Linked DNA regions of Drosophila melanogaster. The protein of the gene in region 3 interacts with the protein of the main gene of each other region in a pairwise test. Each region holds a gene or a part of one and is shown on either strand. Other genes may lie near its edges.

Region 1 (5,296 bases), on a different chromosome or scaffold from region 3:
CCAGGGATGCACACAGACCAACTACCACAACATCGCATGTTCCGTGTAGGCTGTCCCAGAAGATCGCATCCTTACCACAATCCTTACCAAATCGCATCCAATTTAAATATCCAATAAATCGATCCAATTCATGGTGGAGGTCAAATGCATTGCTTGAAAGGAATTCATGTACTTTGTGGTGGGAAGTGTTAAGTTTTATGACATTCATCCATTTACTTTTTACCATGGAAATGGGTCTACAAATATTAGCTTCTCGAAAAATGTCCAATAAATGTGTTACTCCATTGAAACCTGAAATGTATATATATATAGTTTATCCATTGCATTTGGCTCTATTGTAGTTTTATTCCCTTTCCATTCGAATTTTACCGTCTGCTTCCTCTTTATAGAAGATGTTACCCTAACCTTGAACAATAAAATATGAATTGGTATAAATAATGCTAGAGAAATACTATGATTTTTTGGACTGATTTTTGAACTACATTGGCGGAAATGTTCATTAGCGAAACGAAGTTGGCGTGATAAAATTCTTCTGGCAACCCTTTTGATATCAAAACTGCGCCACACAACGATTCATATTTGGCAATCTGTTTTCGTGACACTTGCAGTGCCCAAAAAATTATCAGTTTTAATTAAAATTGTACCCCAGTGGAGGGTTCGGAGAATTTCAAACCGATTCCAGATAGTCCAGATAATGAATTCGCTACTCGGAGCTGCCGCGATCGCTTATTTCCGTGTTGGCCATCAGGCGAGCAAGAAGTATCCAACGCCCAAGGGTCGTTTTTGTCTATCACTAATTAAATTCAACTATTAGGGTCGATGTTACCCATTAGGTCCACAAATATTGTATGAGTGTGAAATGCAAATGAAATGCATCGACGCGCTTTCGTTCTCCATAGAAATCAATTATGTCCACTTTAAGAAGGAAGTTATACAAGTCCACAGGGCGGATGATTGATTTGTATGTAGGAAAGGTCAAGTATTCAAATGACAAACGGGGCAACTTTGCAGCCTCGCTATAATGTATTAGTATTTATTGATCATAACAAATAACGATAACAAATTCCGAAAAACTCAATAATATAAGTTATCTTGTTATGACACCTCATAGACATATGTACATGTACATATATGGTGCCTAATGAATAAAGTGGTTTGAATAATCAACTTTGTAGTACGATAACTTCGTACTTTTCCATTCAAATCTCCTATTGCAGTTGTTAAAAACGGTGATATCACCCATGTATGGGCCATGAATGGGATCCAATGGCTACCTCCCTGGTACTTTCCCATCGCCAAATTTCCAAGTGGTGTTCTTGAGTATGACATCACGGTTTCACGTTACCGAGTGTCTTGCTCGGCAATCGATTCAAGGAAATCTTGGCCCAGAGGTGATCTGGTAACTTAATCGTTATTGCGCCTGATTACACCACTTATATTTATTGTATCGGCGTCGAAAAAACAAACTGTCTAATTAAAACTGATTGCGTACGTCGCTCACGAGACCAAAATATTGCTGATAGTGCCATTCATCAGCCGACGTTTTCTGGCAGGCGGGATAAGATTATATTATGGCTCGGATGGTTCACAAATGAGTCAACTTTTAATCGTACAACTAAGCTTTTCGAAATAATCTTTTTATACCTAAATACATTTGAAAATTCAGATGTTTGTATTGTGATCAATTCCACGAAATCTAAACAAAGAGCTGATCTATAATTTGTATGGGACTTGGGCCTGATAACAGCACTACTTATACTTATGAGGAGCTGCTCACGACACCGGGACCGCAATGGTGGTGCTAGTGATGGTGCTGCTGGTGGTGGTGGTGGTGCCACTTGGAACTTGGGACCCGGTGGTTGCCTCCGATATCTGACAGGCGGTATATGATATGACCTGGGTGGTGCACCGTTGGGTTATTTCGTCGAAGTACTCGTCCTGCGGACAAGTTCCTTGGCCAATGACGATGCCATCCTGGCAGATCGAGTAGCCCCTGCAGCCATCATCCGACTCGTTGGCCAGCTGAATGGTGGAATTGCCCAAGCCCACGCATCGATCGTAGCCGCATTTCACCTTGGATCGCGGGACACAGGCTCCGCCATCGGTGGCCAGGAAAAATCTTCCATCGGAGCAGACGCCATGCTCCAGCGAGAACTCTCCATTGCCCAAATCCTTGCAGTAGTAGTAGCCATTGCAGGTCTTGTTATCCGATATAAATCCACCCGTCTCTGGACATACACCCTTCTTGCTAATATCTGGCACTGGGACGAAGTCACACTCCACATTCTGCGGATAATCGCACTGGGCCGTGGAGGCCTTGAAGTAGAAGGTGCCCGGACAGGTTCCATTGATCACCTGGCCATCCCAGCACAACTGATAGCCATTGCAGTTGTCCGTGTCCTTGACGAAGACCCCATCCGGCAAGATGTTGCAATAGCTATCCGGGTCCATTTTATTCGAGCACGGAAAATCGCGGATGCAGTCCTGCGTTCCCGAATTGAAATTCATCCCAGTGTTGCACACTCCGTGCGTCCCCTTGCCATCCTTGCAATAGTAATAACCATTGCAGGAGTACGGATCAGCCGCGAATCCGGTGGGCAGAGCAGCGCACGGATCACTGGACAGACACTTGATACTACTGGAACTCAGGCATTTCTGGCTCTCCCGGTCGTAGAAGAGTCCAGTCGCACAGCTACCACTCACAGGGCTCCCATCGATGCACTGAATCCACGCGTTGCACGCCCGAGGATCGTTCATCTTGGTTCCGTTGACCACCAAGCTACATATTAGAGTTGCATTGAAGGTCAGGGCGCCTGATATCGTGGGGATCATGATGAGTCCGGAAATGAAGGCGAGCTTTGTGTCTGTTTTGCATAAAAGGGTATAAGTACGATATTCGAAATAAGTTGCAAGTGAAGTATGCTTTCAATTTCGATTTAAATTGCATATTTTTTTTTCAATAAATGTTTGAGTTTTCGTTATGAACTTCTTGAGCCTAAGTCTACGGTTTTCTATATTTATATCTGTCTATGAAATGGTAATTCTTCTCGAAACAACAATATAGTTACTTCGATGGATATCTGCTAGTGCCAGAGATACTCACCCATCTCGAGTTCAGCAAACTTTTAGTATTCCAAAGATACAAGTACCTCTTAACGGCTAACGAGGAAAAGAACGTCTAACTGGATGCCATCCAAGTTCGCCAATAAATACAAATCGAAAGACAATGCTTATGCCCTCGCTACTTTTGGGTTTTCCGAAAGGTCTGTAAATTTTGGAAGCTCTAAGTTAGTCTAGAACTGTCTTCAGTGGCTAAAATGGACGCATGACGTATTCATATTTCACTTTTATCAGATTCGGTTAAATCCAAATTTGACAAGTGATAAACTTGGCCAACGCCGGTGCGCAGTTCATTTAAAACCCAATTTGTTTTTATTTTTGTCAACTTGTGCGGTCATACCTTTGGTTTTTTGGTAGTATTCGTTGTCGAATTCGTATCCGCTTGTTTATAATTACTATCTTTAGATTGGGTCTAATTTAATTTATTACACATATAGTAATTAACTTTATTTCAAAATCAAATGTTATTATGTTTATCGCCTGCGATCTGCTGACTCAGGTGCACACGACATTATGCTATTAATAGTCCACGATGACCGATTCTTACTGACATACATACTTATTGAGATTACTGTTTAAAATTATACATTATTGTGAAATTATTTACGATTAAACTAACTTTATGAAATAATCTGCCGATCGTCGGTTTTAATTGTACCTGATAGTCGTAGAGTAAATGAGTGTACAGAGTGTTCGTTGAAAGGAAAGATACTATTGTATAAGAATATAGAAGATTGATGTGAAAATTACTTGGTGTATAGGTATGCTACAACAAGTAAACCACATATAAAAAATCTAGTGTCCTTGAACTCCCTTCAAATGAGTACTGAGTATCTTAAAGTCGAGGAACTACACTAGCTTACTTGTTTTTTTAAAGTCAATTGGGCTTTACCACATAAGTCCAACTTTTCTGTTCCGATAGTAACAAATATGTCTAGGAATCGCCACAATTAGTCAATATTATTAAAAACAAAGTGTGTGGGTTTTGCCATATAATATGTAGGTAATTTTAAGCTAATTTAGATTACTCTAATCTCATTTCGTTTAATTGATTTGTTTGAAAAAAAAAATAGAAAGGACCATATTTGGAGAACTTCTTGATATGGTACTACTTGAATTATATAATTCGGTAAAAAACTCATTCAAATTTAATCAAGTATATACATTTGGTTAAACAATTATAACAATTATAAAGTCGTTAGCTTTAAAATGCGAACTCTGTTATAAGTTTAGAGCACGATGTAATTCTTTATTGCTCTTTTATTTACACATTAACTTTTTAATATTCCAATTATAGAAACGCAGTCTAAAAAATACATTTGAGTTAATAAAAAGAACCCAAATTTCTATCCGTCTGAGTTCTGGGAAAGTTCTTATCCCCACAAAAACTTTGTTGACTTGTCAAAATGGCCATCGATCATGCAAAAATGGTTCGTTGGCTTCGCTTGCGATACATCACAAAATGGGTTCCTGAGCTGAAGGGTCGTCGATCAACTTGGACAGCCCAGCGGATCGAAGATAACTCCTGGCTGGACTGCAAATAAAAGCCCAGGAAGTCCATCAACCAGAAACAGTATTCAACTAGGAGCCACCAAAAGAAGAAGCAAATAATGGGTGGGTATCGCATATAAAAGTTCGAAACAGGAAAAATTGGAACATCATATGAATATATTCAACGCTTCCAGGTGGACAAAAAGCAACCATCCTCGCTGCCGTGGCGCTGGTGATCGCCTGTGCCGCTCCAGCAATAGCCGATGTGAATGTCACCGCCTTGTGCCTGCTGGTCAGCAATGGGAACTACGTGGCCAGCCAGTCGGACTGCTCGACCTACTACCAGTGCCAGGGATCCTCGTTCACGGCCATGTCCTGTCCCCAGGGCTACTACTTCGACAAGAATGCCCAGCAGTGCACGGGCACTGTGCCGAGCACCTGCACCAGCAACTCCGATCCCTGTCTGGGCAAGGCGGTGGGATCCTTCGCGGCATCCAGTTCGTCCTGCGGCGGCTACTACTACTGCGGAGCCTCCGGCGCTGTGAGGGGCAATTGTCCTGCCGGCGAGAACTTCAATCCCACCACAATGGCCTGTGTGTACAAGAACAACTATCCATGCAGCGAGTCCGCCGGTGATGGCTCCACTGTGTCGGTCGCCCTCAACCTATGCAATCTTGTCAAGAAT
Region 2 (5,742 bases), on a different chromosome or scaffold from region 3:
CATTGTTAGCATAATAAACACATAATAAAATGCAAAAGGCAAAATCAGTAAAGTCAATTTTGAAGATGTTTTGCATACGCAGCCGTTGCAAACAGCTTGCCAAAGTTTATTTACGAGCTAGCCGAGCAAACCCCGTTCCGGCTCAAAACCCAAAAAGGTTGCAATTCTCGGTTAATGAATGTCAGTGGCACTCCGTACATGGGCCATATACATACTTCCATTCCATACTATACCATACCATATATTTCGCATGGAAAATGTCATATATAAGATGCTACGGGTCGAGTGTAATTACATGAAAGCTGGACTAAATTTGCATATGCCGCAAACTGACTACGATAAGCGTCTTAAATTTTCAATTTCATTGTTTATTAAGTGCCAAATAATTGTTTGTGTGCAGTGAGCTGAATTTGTGATCAAAGGTGTTCGGCCAGCCCACGTTTTCCGTTTGTAATTTGCAATTTCCTGGACTCCTTCACCTTCGCCCTCAAGAGTATATATCCTCTGCTATAATTATGAGAAATTCGTAAGCCCTGAAGCGTGTGAAAATTCGCAAATGCATCGCGCTTTCCCCGATTACCACCATTGATTATCGCCTTAGCTTTCTAATTACGAAACTTTCCAAAGGGGATTAAGTCCAACTCCTGTGCCACTTACAGCCCACTGTGCGAAAGTGCTGAAATTAAACAGAAACAGAAGCAGCACTCACATTCGCAGATAAACATAAGCCGGCTCGACAATGGCCCCATTGTTTATGGCTTTCACATAAATTTTTATGCAAAATTTCAGCCAGAGTAATTAATTTTAATATGAAAGCCAAACATGCGCGCTCTAACAATTGTCATATAATTTGCCGTCTAGACAGTGGAAATTTAGTATTTTCAATTAACTGCAATGGCAACTGAGCGCTGCAACCTGCCACCCCCTTAACCCATTCCAACCCTTAACACCCCAAAGCACAACAATGCACACAAAAAGGCGCACACTGATTATTTCCACGACGAGGGCAGGAAGTGGAAAAAGCGAGCTGCAGCTCCTCTGACTGCTGACTGCCATGTTGACATTGTTGGCTCAAAAAAAAAAAAAAATAGAAAATATACGGAAAATAAAAACAACTAAATTCCGGAGCAGGCAAAGTATGATTTCACTGCAATCCGACGGTTTAGTTCACTCGTAATGCTAATGAATTTAAGATATCAGTACATAATTATTAAAGATAAGTTTTTTAATATTTAGCTATACTAAAAAACTCAAATCTTAAATTCACGAGTGGCAAACAAAAGTTTTAGATATCCTGGATGCAAATATATTCCCTAGTTGAACGTGCACCCATTGTGCAGGGGAAATCAATCCACTGAATGGCTGAATTCGATGGGAAAACAGCGAAAATGAGCCGGGATACCCCTGCTCGGACGCCCCTGCTTGCAGCCTTGAATCCGGAATATCAGGCGTGCAGCAGCAGGCAGAGCGACGTCCTCAAGGTTGGCAACAAAATTGCACTGCCAGTCACTCGAAGGGGTGTTCACAATGGTGAAGGGGGTGGTGGGTCACGAATTGCAGAAAAAATGAAAGGGGTAATGGGAGGGGGGGGGGGTCGGGTTGCAGCCTCGTTCGTGTGCCAATGTCAGTGCACCTGGCGCTGCACTTGGCACTCGGCATTCACTTCGAGTCGCAACTCAACTCGCCTCAACTCATCTCATTTCAACTCGACTGGCTGCTCCCTTTCCCAGCCAACAGTGCGTATTGCGGTGGCCGGGAAGCCTTACAAAGGGGGCATCCCCACCCATAGGCTTCAGCTTCGATTTCACTTTTTTCCTTTTTATTTTTTTGGTTTGGTCCCCAGCTCTCGCACTCGTTTTTTAATTGAAATTTCATTTGCCCCGTTTGTTTGCACATAATTACGATTCGGGGGACTTTTGTCGCTTGTTATGCAAATTTAAGGCCAGCTCATCCCGCGCTGAATGAGTGTGAATAGACGGAGATGCATGAATGCCCAACTCGAGCTGCATTCTCATATTTTTCATATTTATTCTTTTCGGCTTCGCTGCGGTTTCATTGTGGTGGGAATGGCCCAAAAAGGAATGGTTTTAGACGGGCTGAATGGAAGAAGACAGCCTCCAGTCAGCTGAAGCTTCATTCAGCTTCCAGTTTCTCGATGGTTAAAAAATGAGCACGAAACTAAAATCCTTTCAAATAGTGAACTCGTCTGGGAAGGCTGCAAGAAGCTGCAGACAAGTTTTCCAAATGCATCCATAAACTGTGCTACTTGCAATGTTTTAAGTATCAAAAATGTCTCAGATTATAGCAAATTTCAATGAAGCGAAGCGAAATTTGTAGTTCTTTGGTTGGTAAAGGCTTTCGGTATCTTTCTGATGTTAAAATTTGAATATTTACATATTACTATTTTAGCACTAGCACCTTAATTGGCGCGCACTATTTCAAACTAATAACCTATTTAGGCAATCAACTGAATAATAGTTATCAATCTGATATGAAGCCGTGGATTAGTACGAACCCCAGTCGTACTTCCCCACAACGCTCCGGAAATCCGGCAGTTAAACCCATTGACTGCTGATTGAGTAATCAACGAATCGAGACCCCGTAATTCCGCAATTTACTTACATTGTGAGCCGTAATCAGTAGGTGGATCGGCTGTGTCCTGTTCGCGGCTCTCAAGACATGCAAACACTCGCGCACACTCACAGCCAAGTTAAGCGGTTCGGAAGTCGCTATATATAATCAAATGCTGCCGCACTTCATTTGCCGGGGATTGGCCAACTGCTCCGTGCCCGCAAAGACATAATCCCAATGCCACCCACTTGTTGGGGACTCGACCACTGGATAAGTTCTACACGGAAGAAAACTAATCGAATTGTATTGGCCAATAGGTACTCAATGCATCTTGAGTTGCATTAATCTATCAGATCTCATTCAATGTAAGAAATCAAATTTTTGTTCTTGATTAAGTCTTTTTAAGTAAGCAGTAAGTTTATTAGAATATTTTATAAATAATATAAAGTTACTGTAATATTTTTTGTATTATATATTTATATTGAGCTAGCGCAAAAAACACGGACTTAGACCATTAAAAGGAAACGTAACATCAAACAACAAACAAGATTAAGAAAATGCTGTTACTTGCTGTTACTGAACAAGCACTAATATTTTGTCATTATCTTTAATGATTTTTATGGATGTGAAAACATACCGAAAGGGGTGTTTTATTTAGCTTTCTCTCAGTGTAGAGCCTGCCGATCACACACGCACAATTGCCGTTCGTTTGATTTACGACATCGGATTTGAAATTCCCCGCCGTTGCCTGCGTTTTTTCTTCTAACCAATTTTTTTTTGGCCAGAACAATGGCTGGCGAAAACGCGCGCAAAAACTGTCACCGGAAGTAGGTTCGCCAACCGGAAACGCGGAATGGTGCAAAATGGCGGGCAAATTACGCGACAAGCGGCAGTTTGCTGCCCGGCTGATTGCAAGGCGTACTCAGTGAGACGGCCAAAACGAATAGGCGAACTGCAACCGTGCACCGTGCAACCGGGAGCGGAGTAAAAAAACGCAACCAAAGTATGCAAAGCACGCGAGCGTACTGTGGCACCATCAGCAGAAACACGGCCTCCTGGGCCTGGGTTCTTGCCACTGCCTCAGTTGCCTCTGTTGGCTATGTTGCCTCTGCCGGTGCCGTTGCCGGAGAATCGAGAATCGGGCAGAGCAGAGCAGTGCAGTGCAGAGCAGAGCAACTGAACTGAACTCCTCGAGGAAGGCCGCGCCGTGAACATTAACGCTAGCGTTAACGCTAACGATAGGTTGACGGATGGGGGTAATCGGGGGTCTGGCTGGTTGCAAGTGCCCCGTTGTAAGCGATACCCAGGAGGGAGGGTTTTTTTTTTTTTTTCAACCCAGCTTTTTATTTAACTCTTCTTTTTGCGGGCCATGCCGTGCATTCTCTTTTTATTCTCGCTGCAGCCACCCCGAAGCGGAGCTGAGGCTTCAGCCTAAGAGCGGAAAGTAGGTGAGGCACATGAGCTCGACGGCTGGCAGGATGAGGCAGCGGATGAGGGGCAGGATGAGGGGCCCGGAGAGTGTTTACCCCGGCTTAGACGGCTCTGACAGGCCGTCTGGGCTCCAAAGCATGAATGAGTTGTGGAAGCAAATGAAGTGCCACGCCAGCCGACGTTGCAACCCGCAGCGTATTTAAATATAGCAGAGAACAAGCAGCAGCACCAGCAACAGCAGTGGCAGTGGCAGCGGCGGCAGTGCAACGCGTGCAGCAGCAACGGAAAAGGCAGCAGCTGCGCAGCCAGCAGAGACCAACGCTGCGATGCACTGGGAGAAAAGAGTGTGCTCTATGCACAATATTATTGCGTTCCTTACAGCAATACTTTAAAGCTTTATATATGGAATGGAGTGGCAAAGCTTAAGAGAATAGTTGAGTGAAAAACTGTAAAGAACCTTGTCCATTGAATACACTTTTTAGTAAAATATATATATATATATATACTTCATTATAGGTATATATGTTTCAGTGTACCAGGACAGGCGGCAGACGCTCACAGGCTATCATGTCACCGCTGGCGTCCTCATTTGTCTGTTTGCCTTGTGTGCTTGTGCAATTTTTTTATATTTTATTTTTAATTTCTTTTTTTTTAATTTTTGAGCCAGACTGGCAGTCAGTCAGTTTAGTTGCTAGCGCGCCTGGGCATATTTTGTGCTTCATCATCTCGGCCGCTGATGATGACACATGCGAATGACTGCAAACAAATCCAGGGAGCGGCAGTTGCTGCTGCTGCTGCTGATGTAGCTGTTGCCACTGCAGACTGATATTGCTGCTGTCATCAGCAACATTTCGCTGTGGCAGCTTCGCTGAAACTTTCTCATGGAGCGGGCGACTGTTTGCTGATGCAGCCAAATGCGAAAAGCGGGTGTGCGCCACACCTGCCGACCTTGGTGGGTGGGTCTAGACCCGGGTACCAGAACTCCCACGGTGGTTTAATCAACGAATTACGCCGGATTGGAGTGTTAATAATGCAAATCTATAGATGGCAACGCGGACTAATCAGATTGGATGCAGAATATTGCAGGCTTTTTGGAGGGATGTCATTAAAAAATAGAAAACACGGGTAAATTCGTGTTTATTTGATAAGATATCTTGGAAAGGGAATTAGGAATGTTAGCACATTTCCAAATTTCCTGCACTTTAAATGCATATTAAGGCATTTAAAAAATTGACGATGCAGATTATAAAAATTAAAATAATAAAAGGCTTTATGTGGGCTTAAAAAAAAGGTAATCAAAGGAAAATTAAAGAACAATGCCCCAAGAAGTTGTGATGGTCATGGATCTGGGGTCTGGCTGAGATTCCGCATAGACGGAATGCAGGGCGGAAGGCATGTCCCGCTTATGGGCTGTCCGGGGCACGTACTTGCGGTGGCTGCCACATAATGAGAGCTGGCTGCGGCACAAACGTGCCATAAACTGTGGCACGCCCCCTTGGCCCCAGCAGACCGCTTCCACCGATGAATATTCCATGTGGCATGCGTTGACAAAGCATTCGGGCCTCGTCATCTGGAGCATGGGGGCATATCATATAGGCAAAGTTTTTCCTTTTCCCAGCACACACATTGTGTGCTCCGCACATGGGACATACACACATACTCCTCGCACATCAGGATGGACCGACGAGGAGCAGAAGCTCCGAGCTGGGGCTCAACTTTTATCGGTCTTGTTTTGATAGT
Region 3 (5,616 bases):
CCACACTTCCACCCACATTCGTCGTCCGTCTCGCCCGCGTCTTCGTCTTCGTCGTTTGCTTTATTGTTTTATTGTCAGTTTAGGGATTTGACAATTTGCTTGCTGATTTTTTATGACAATCATGTATGTAAATTTCAGGCCTCTCTGTCGCACTCTTCTCCGCCGCCTCACTCTCGCCTTCTCTCGCTCCCTCCTCCGGCCCTACTCCAATCTAAACTCTTCCTCAAGGCCCCACGCACACAGCCGCACAGTGGAGTTCGTATCTGTGTGGCTGCGATGGAGGTACTCGTATCTGGGCTCCATTAGCCCTCGCCTTTTCTCTTACGAAATTTTTAAATACTTTTGGGCCATTCTCAGCTGAGCTTGATTCCCAGCTCCAGTTGCCCAGCAAAAAAAAAAAAAAAAAATAAAACCTAAAACAACTTGAAACCCCATAGTTACCAACAGATTCAAACCCTTTCTGTCGCTATTTATACCCCTTAATCGTAGATTGGAAAAAGCATACCCATTCGAAAGACGAAAGATCGCCTGCATCTTTGGAATATATATGTACATACATACTTATGCATACTTACTTACATGCTTAGTCTTCTTCTAGTCTTCTATTTAAAAAAGTTTCTCTAGTGAGCTTATGATCTTATGACAGAATCTGATAACAGGGTATCCGTTAGTCCTAGCTTACGATTTTTTCCTTTCTTTTTAAATGTAGATTAGCTTTCGTTGTCTCTCAGCTCTGCACTCCCGTATGCCCAACGCAATAAAAGTTTGGTTTATTAATTTTTTGAACGTTCTCAACTTTTACGAGGCCCGTGACGTCGATAATCGTCGGTTGCCGGTCGCTCAGAAACTAGGCTAGTAGTGCGAATTGGTTTTGGCCCGGTCCAGTGAGTCAACATCTGACTAAGACGCTTCGAGGAGTCTATTAATAAGCCGCCGTTCGTACCAAGGCTAAAAAAAAAAAAACGGGCACAACTGAGCAACCAAGCCTAGAACTGCAACACAGCTTTAAATTAGGCGAGTTGCGATATGGTAATCGGTGGATCACACAAAAGGGCCAACCAATCTTCGCTGTGTTCTTGAAAAATCCACATTATCGCCACTTAAGCTAAATTTTGCTATTACAATAGAGTACATAAACATTTATTTATATGGTAAGTTCTTCATAGCGTAGATGACTTCTACGAACTGCCAGAGTTTTAAGCTAGAGATCGGAATAAACATTTCGAAATCCAACCATCCTAAAGAAAACAATTTCATATAAAATTTTTAGTGCCTAGGGCGGCTTAAATATATGCAGTTCGCTGTATATATCCAGAAACGCAAATACAGCGAAATAATTTCATAAATAAACAGTGGAAAATCATTTTAACACGATCAAAGCTATTGATTTGCTGCTAGAAAGGCAATGCAGAAGTTGTGTATTATTACAAATACACTTTACAATTGCGATCCATCCAAATTCTACGGATTGTTAAGTGCAAAACCGGTTATCAATGACCTTACTTAAATTACTTTTTTATAACCGTTCAGCAATTTTCTGTGGAAAATTGTGATGGCTTGCAAAAAAGGATTCAAATTTGTGTGCATTATAAAACGTATGTATATATGTGTGCATTATAAAACATATGTATATATGTATATTAAACATCAGTTTTCACTAATAATGCCATTCAAGGCATAAAAATATAAGCATTCAAATTGCGACTAATCGTTTATGTACATGTCTTCGAGAGGATTTATTAGTTCGATCTAAACAGATTGCAAAACTTAGGTCTCAACTAATGCTAATTATGCATGGGATACTTTATCTTGATTCCGAGCTAACTTGTGGTACTCTCAATGCAAAGGGTATTGCAAAGTAAAGGCAGCGCAAAGCAAAGGCAAAACCAAAAGCAAAGCAAAATCAAATGCAGCGGCGTTGACGGCAGCCGTGCGCGACAGAGACAGCACGCACATAACCGAAACGCCGCCGCGCAGTGTATATAGCGCACACACACACACAGCCACGCATGTGCGTCGACTGCGACGCCGCAGCCACAGTCGCAGCCGGCGTCGCTGCCGGCAGAACGGGTAGAACGAATGTGCCGCATGCACGGCGGTGTATTTGTCGGTCATTTGTATTTGGAACGCCGTAGCAGACAGAAGGACACGGGTGAAAAAGCGACGAAGCGTGCGAACGGAGTGGAGCGGCTACTTTTAGCGCCCTTTTTTGTTTCATTTTCCCCACTCACAAAACGCAACATTTTTGGCAACAACTTTTCGGCAAACCAATTGAAAAACAAACTAAACGAACTAATCGCGGCTCGGGAATCAACAACAAATTTAATTCCGATGCAATACTTGTGTTCGTAAACAATTTTTTTCTGTTCGATCCGATCCCCGATAAACGATAAACGCGAATTCCAGTGATCTTTTGGAAAAGGGCGAAGCGAAAAGCGAACCCAAACCGAAAAACTCTAAATCACCGGTAAAAAAAAAAGTGGCGAGAGAGAGCAAGAAAGAGAGAGAGAGAGAGATAGGGAGAGTGTGATCACATCGCATCGCCATTCTCGCTTCCCTCGCAATTCGCAAAAACAAAATTCGAAATTCAAAATTGACCAGCATTCGTTGCGGTTCCGATATTGGTTTCTTCAGTTCAGTTCAGTTCAGTTTCGTATTATTTATCGAGTCTGCTGTTGTGTGTCTTTCGTTTCGCCGAAGAGGAGCGGTGAAAGAGAAGAAGGAGGAGGAGCGGAGCAGAAGAAGAAGGAGCGAAGCAGAAGTCCAAGTCCAACGAAGAAGTGCCCAAAGCGAGGCGCAGATAAGTAAGAAAAGCAAAAGAGAACGGAAAAGGGATCTTCATCGAGGATCCTTCATGTATATATTTTTTTCGAGTGTGTGTGTTAGTGTGCGTCGTGAGCGTCCATGTGTGCTCTCCACAAACAATTGCAGTTGACATTACGTTCGCAAGTAAAAGCTATTGTATTTCCACCATACAAATCAAATTACAAAAGTGCCTGCAATTTCGCATCGAAGTGAAATGGACACCAAGAACCGTTAGACACCAAAAGCTTTGAAAACACAGTGTGCATGTGTTTGTTTTTTTTCCGTTTGCAACTCAAGTAACTTCAAACTAATAATGGCTTAAACAATAATTGGCTTATTTTCAGTACAAATACAAAGCACAAAAAAACAAAAAATCACAAAAAAATAAAACGAAACGAGAGCATATAACATAAAAACCCAAAACAAAAACGATCGGCTCAGCAGAGCCAACGAAAAGCAAGCAGCGTAGCAGCAGGAGCAGAGGATGCACCACTGATCCCGGAGAGCTCGAGACATGAGAAGCGAAACACCGAGCAGCCACCAAGCATCGACTTATGTAGCGGTCCATGACGAGCATTAAGACCGAGATGCCGCCCCTGCACGCGGCAGAGGCGCTCGCCTCCAGCAGTGCTACAGACAGTGGTGGGGGAGGAGCAGGAGGAGGAGGAGGAGGAGGTGGAGGAGGATCGGGCGGACCAGGAGCGGGAGGAACGGGAGGCGTAGGCAGTGCGCCCGCCACACCCAATGCCACAATTAGCGCCGCCGCCGACTCCAGTGATAATCAACCCGGCACGCCGCAGCCCACGCAACAGCAGCAATCGACGCAGCAACAGTTGCAGCAGCCACAATCGCAACAGCAGCAGCAGCAGGCCATGGGTGGAGGAGATCCCCAGCAGCAGCAACAGCAGCAGCAGGTAACGGGTATCACCCACCAGCCGTACGCCACCCACCACATGTACTCCGCATCTGGCGGACAGCAGCAACAACAGCAGCAGATCTACGGCGGACTCTACGGCGGGGACATGCAGCAGCAGCAGGGTTACGCCAGCAGCTACATCAACAGCTACGAGCAGTTCTACCAGCAGCAACAGCAGCAGCAGCAGGGCACTGATTACGCCTTTGGCACCGTGGGCGTTGACTATGGCAAGAGCGCCGGTGTTCGCTATCATCCCTACCTGCAGACGCCAACCTCCGGACTGGGAGGCATTCCAACGGCCAGCTCGGCACAGGAGGAGGCGGGCAGTGCGCCCAGCGCGGTCAGCACCACCACAGCGGTGGCCATGAGTCCGCGTGTGGTTAGCAGCAGCAGTCCAACGTCGACGTCCTCGCACCTGCAGCTGGGCAGCTCCAGTGGCCAGACACCAGGCTCACCAGGCGGAGCCGCCGGAAGTGCCGGATGCAAGTTGCAGTGCAAGAAGTGCGGCATCCTCACCACCAACGAGTCGGAGCTACAGGAGCACATCGCCAACGTGCACGGAGAGTCGCCGTACGGCAGCAGCGGTTACGCCAGTTCACCGTACATCAAGGAGGAGATGCCCACACCACAGCCACCCGGCGTTGGATCCGCAACGGCCAATCCCGGCGAATTACTCGACCTAGATTCCCAGAAGATGGTCTATCACCAGCAGCTGCTCCAGCAGCAACAACAGCAACACGACGTGGTCGCTGGACTGCCGCTGGGCGCTCTGCCGGATCCGCTGCACTCGATGCAATCTATGCAGCAGCGCGCACTCCACAGCTGGGAGCAGCAGCCACAGCAGACGGTGGCCTCCGTGGAGGGCCTGCCACCCTACATGCAGCAGGGATTGGGCGTGGGGCTGGGAGTCGGTGTGGACAAGTCGCCCTACTACTCACCAAAGCAGTCACCCTATCATCAGTCAACCGGCGTTGGCGGAGCCACGCTGATCAAGCAGGAGTACGGCGGCCACGGACTGATCAAGTCCGAGTATCCCGATTCGCAGCATTACGTGGACAAGTCCTTCGATCCCACAGCTGGCGGAGCTGGTGGCGCGGAACTGTGCGCCAGCGTGGCCACCAGTCCGGCGGAGTTCCCCAGCACCACTACGGGCGGACCAGGGCAGGAGGGAGCGGCGGGTGCGGCGCCAGGAGGTGGATACCGCGGTTTCGAGCCACCCAGCTCGAGCTCCGTGCTGCCGGCCAACAGCCTGACGGCCAAGGCGGCCACCTGGAAGTCGAACGAGGCGCGCCGTCCGAAAACGTACAACTGCACGGCCTGCAACAAGTGGTTCACCAGCTCGGGCCATCTTAAGCGCCACTACAATACGACGCTGCACAAGAATGCGGTTAAGTCGAGCGGCCAGCCGGATCCAGCCACCCTGCCCATCTCGGCGCACCACCATCCCGCCCGCGACCCGGTGACGAAGCCCAGTCGCAGGGGCAATGCCGCAGCCGCTGCGGCCGCCGCTGCAGCTGCCGCCTCGGCCAGCGGTCAGGGTCAGCAGCAACAGCCGCCGATACCGCCGCCGCCGGCCAATGTGCCACCCCCGGAGCCGCCTAGAAGTCCGCCCGATTATGGCGGAGGAGGCGGCTTGGGCGTGGGAGCGATGGGCGGCGCTGCCATGTCCCAGTACTCGGCCTCACCCTCGCCCACACAGCAGCAGCAGCACCACCTCAACCACCATCAGCAGCAGGCCAACGGCTATGCTAATGGCACCGCCAACGGCTATGGCTACATGCAGCAACAAGTGCAATCCACGACAAACGCTTCACCACAGCACGCTTCCAACAACAACAGCAACAACCAGCAGCAGCAGCAACAACAGCAGCAGCACCATCAGCAGCAGATGCCGC
Region 4 (4,286 bases), on a different chromosome or scaffold from region 3:
TTATTGAAATCAAACGGAAATGCATCGAAGCAAATGCGTAAAAAAGCGGGAGCCGAAAAATATGATTAACCCATTTAAAATTATGGCAAATATTTGAATTGATTCTCAGACCTTATTAAAAGTGTTATGTCATTAAATTTCTCATTTAACTTGTATGTATATTTATGTATATAAATGGAGTTAAGATTTCGAACCGCTAATAATTTAAAATACAATAATATTATTCACGTCTGCGCTTCAGTAGGTTAAGTCCCGACTCCGATAGAACAACGATCCATCAGCGTATATGTCTGTGAATATATATATGCTGTGCGCAGCCCATAAATAAATATATAAATTTAAATAAAGGCCGCCGCAATACCCGCACACTCACAGTTTGTTTGTCAATAAATCAGAATACTTATCAACGTCAAAGTACCGCAAAGAATGTGAGCAAACAATAAGAACTAAATGTGTGTGTGTTTCAGGAGGTCCATCAGTTTATTGGGAACTATTAAAGTTATTTATGAAAATAAATGGAATACCTACAACTTAAAAATAAAACCTTTCATTGAGCTACAAACATTTCTACACAGTGCCTAAATTATTCGACAAATGCGCCTCTATCTTGACTCCAGCAGGCATTGTGGGTGCCAATTTATGGGCAATCTGTGCTTATTTTCCCATTTCCCAGCCCAACATTGTTTTGGGCCTAGTCCCGAACTAAGTCCGCTAATTGCGCCGCCTTAGCCGGGCCATCTCGACCGGGTTTCGGGGAAGGCCCCGTCCATAATTATGCGAAATGTGCGCCATTTCTTCGGACTGTTGCCTGTTATTGTTTGCATTATTAGCTGACAATTTCGGTGGCACTGTGATGCCAAGTGGTGGGTCTGTGATTAGGCCGGCTCTTTGGGCTCTGGAAATTGTGGGATTAGCAGGCGCTTTGTCTGTGGCTAGAATCTTGGTCGGGCACCATCAGCCTGTCGCTCGATAAGCGCTCCAGGGCAACTCGAGTCCAAGAAGTTGATGTTTTTCTTGCATGATTACGACCATAAGCCAACGGCGTGTTATTGCAGGCCAAAGAAGTGGACGGTTTTCTTGGGAAACGCCCGAGTTCAAATCGATTGAACCAATGTTGCTCTTTAAATTGGTTTAATTTAGACATTTATTGTATCTCAACTTCCTGGAAGCAACTTGATTAAATTTCCTAATTTAAATAACCGGAACTATTGGACAGCAACTAATTCTGAAGAGCAAAGGCCATCTAAAATATCGCTTGATTTCTTAGCTATCACTAATGTGACTATCAATTCGAGGAAATGAAATTTTGTAGAATTAATAAAAGTCGTGTGTTATTAAGAAAATATTAAAACGTATTATATTTATTGTTTGAATACCAGAACGTTTCTTATTCCGAGCACATATTGTAGCGTTTGCCCCTCGCTTTTGGCATTTAAAATGGAGCAAATATTTTAGAATTCACCTGAATCGCATGCAAAAGCCTTTGTCAACATCAATGGTCCGCTGTGACCACGCTCTTTGTTGTAGTTTTTTGTGAATGCGCAATTGTTCAGTGTCGTCATGGCTGTGGCATGCACAAAGCGCCGATTGCAACGCCCATCCATCCACCCAGCAACCCCCCCCCCCCCCCACCTACTAAAGCTTTCAGGATATGCCATCCAACTACCAACTACCATACCGACCAAAACGCTTTTTTTTCGGCGCTGACATGTCCAGGCACTGGGGCAAAAACAAACCCATATATGTATATTCAATAGGCCGGGCGCTGCCAGAGTGTTTTCCGACGTTTTTCTGTAATTCGTTGTAGGTTTTTTCCAAGTTGGCTTTCGGCCGGTCCGAAAAAAGCGGCCTGCCTACATAAAGGCGCTAGCATATTAAAGGCTTAAACCCACTCAACGGCAGATGCCATATTGTTGAAATATATGCAGATACGTCGCGCATACGTCATGTGAAGATGGAATCCGGTTTGCAAAATGCATTCCATTCAAGCAGCGTTCTGTGATTTTTCATTGCAATCGGTTAAGCAATCGAATCCACCAGATTTATGTATTGTAAGCATATATTTCCATTCAAAGCTCAAAGCGATTTTCACCTTACCTGCACAACAAAAACACTACACTAGGGTGTGATCGTAGAGCTCGGTTTTTCAAATTTCGATCGAAGTGGGCCTGGATTATTGTGCAATGCTGTCGTCCTACTGTTATATCTCATTCAGTTTCCTGTTTCGCTCCGAATAACTTCCAAATTGAACAGTAAAAATTTGTAACAAAAATAAAGTATAATATTTTTCTAGAAATTTTATTTTGGAAAACTTAAGTCGAAAACATGTGCTCTCCGTGCGGTCCTTGTAGTCCATGCGATCCCTGCTGCGGTCCCTTCGAGTGCTCACCCAAGTGCTATAATGCCGCCCAATTGGAGGCCTTGCCACAATGTGCTCCACGTATTCCACCTCCCTTCCCCAAATGCATCACCGTGCAGCAACCACCACGCATGATCTGCAAGAAACGCGTGGTGTTCACGGAGAAGATTGTGCCGGAGCCAATGGTGGTTAACCGATGCAGACAGATTACCATTCCAAAGGTCGTTGATGCCACGCGGGTGATCAAGGTGCCCAAGCTGATTTGGGTGTCGCAGATGGTGCGAGAACCCAGAGTAATCTACTACCCCTCGATGATCCCCGATCCCTATGTGGTGTGCTATCCCAAGCGCGTCTGCGAACCCCGGGAGGTGTGTCAGTCGATCCTGTGCCAGCCGAAGCCACAGACCATCGACATTCCGCCGCCAAGGGAGTACTGCTGCTATCCAAATGGACCCATCAACTACAAGCCCAGTGCAGCGTGCCCACCCTGCCCCATTGGACCATGTGCTCCTGGAGGACCCTGCTGTCCGCTGCCCTGCTTCTCCACAAACCAGTATCCCGTTGCCGAGGGTAGGTGCGGACCCTGTGGACCTTGCGGTCCAGGATGCGGACCCTGCGGTCCGCGATGTGGTCCCTGCGGACCCGGCCCGTGCGGACCCTGTGGGCCGAGATGCGGTCCGGGTGGACCGTGCGCCGTGCCCAATTGCGGGCCCTGCGGCCTCACAATGCCGTCGGGTCCGTTTGTCCCGGCTCCGTGTGGACCCTGTGCTCCATGCGGGCCATGTGGACCGCTCGGCAATAGTCCTTGCGGTCCTTGCGGACCCTGCGGACCCTGTTCGCCCCCGTGTCCGTACGAGTCACCCGAGTGCGGCCCCTGCTACCCGTGCGCCCCAACTCCCTGGAATACCCACTGCGGCCCAGTTGGTCCTTGCGGTCCTCAAGTGCCTTGTGGACCCAGCGGCCCCTGTTAACATCATCGTTGTGCTGCCTGGATTGTTGTCAGAAACCGGTGCCCAGTGGACCAACTTGTCTATCACCAATACAGATTGCCATAGTGTATTCTCGCCGTTCTGCTCAAACACCACCAAAAAAGTCTACAGTTCTCTATACTTTGTCAACGCATGGACGACTCATTGGCTGTAAATAAAAATCGGATTTATGCATATATAAGGTTTTTTCAATTTCTTTTGACAGGTTATGCAATGGTTTCTATCCAGATAAAATTTTCTACCAAATTTTTGTCAAATAGTAGGCCTTGCCTCTGCTTGTCAATCTACCTATGTTCGTTACTCAGGCTTAGCTCGCATTTTGAATCCGGTTTCGCTTCGATACACTTCTAAATTTCTCTGATCAAATTTTATAAGAAACAAAAAACAAAAATTAACTTTTTACTCTTTCGGTTTATTCTAGTCGAAACTTAAAATGTGCTCTCCGTGCGGTCCTTGTAGTCCATGCGATCCCTGCTGCGGTCCCTTCGAGTGCTCACCCAAGTGCTACAATGCCGCCCAATTGGAGGCCTTGCCACAATGTGCTCCACGTATTCCACCACCCTTCCCCAAATGCATCACCGTGCAGCAACCACCACGCATGATCTGCAAGAAACGCGTTGTGTTCACGGAGAAGATTGTGCCGGAGCCAATGGTGGTTAACCGATGCAGGCAGATCACCATTCCAAAGGTCGTTGATGCCACGCGGGTGATCAAGGTGCCCAAGCTGATTTGGGTGTCGCAGATGGTGCGAGAACCCAGAGTAATCTACTACCCCTCGATGATCCCCGACCCCTATGTGGTGTGCTATCCCAAGCGCGTCTGCGAACCACGTGAGGTGTGTCAGTCGATCCTCTGCCAGCCGAAGCCCCAAACCATCGACATTCCGCCGCCGAGGGAGTACTGCTGCTATCCAAATGGACCCATCAACTACAAGCCCA

What was found.
Region 1: the proteins of zld (region 3) and CG6996 interact in a two-hybrid assay, tested with the Drosophila melanogaster proteins (one large-scale study listed by BioGRID).
Region 2: the proteins of zld (region 3) and CG34377 interact in a two-hybrid assay, tested with the Drosophila melanogaster proteins (one large-scale study listed by BioGRID).
Region 4: the proteins of zld (region 3) and Mst98Ca interact in a two-hybrid assay, tested with the Drosophila melanogaster proteins (one large-scale study listed by BioGRID).

Annotation. Positions count from the first base shown.
Region 1 is NT_037436.4:20,205,436-20,210,731, reverse strand, and holds CG6996 (uncharacterized protein), read right to left. Parts: upstream 3,199-5,296; 5' UTR 3,108-3,198; coding exon 3,104-3,107; intron 2,867-3,103; exon of another isoform or gene 2,865-2,866; coding exon 1,774-2,864; 3' UTR 1,132-1,773; downstream 1-1,131. Other genes in the region: CG7017 (uncharacterized protein), read left to right, coding at 1-49; CG7290 (uncharacterized protein), read left to right, coding at 4,731-4,734, 4,806-5,296.
Region 2 is NT_033777.3:22,320,517-22,326,258, forward strand, and holds the start of CG34377 (uncharacterized protein), read right to left. Parts: upstream 3,579-5,742; 5' UTR 3,209-3,578; intron 2,864-3,208; exon of another isoform or gene 2,849-2,863; 5' UTR 2,623-2,848; intron 1-2,622.
Region 3 is NC_004354.4:19,780,042-19,785,657, reverse strand, and holds the start of zld (zelda), read left to right. Parts: upstream 1-2,109; 5' UTR 2,110-2,804; exon of another isoform or gene 2,805-3,149; 5' UTR 3,150-3,371; coding exon 3,372-5,616. UniProt on the Drosophila melanogaster protein: Transcription factor required for zygotic genome activation (ZGA), a critical event in early embryonic development during which the developmental control passes from maternally provided mRNAs to the expression of the zygotic genome after fertilization.
Region 4 is NT_033777.3:28,289,134-28,293,419, forward strand, and holds Mst98Ca (Male-specific RNA 98Ca), read left to right. Parts: upstream 1-2,204; 5' UTR 2,205-2,325; coding exon 2,326-3,330; 3' UTR 3,331-3,523; downstream 3,524-4,286. Other genes in the region: Mst98Cb (Male-specific RNA 98Cb), read left to right, coding at 3,782-4,286.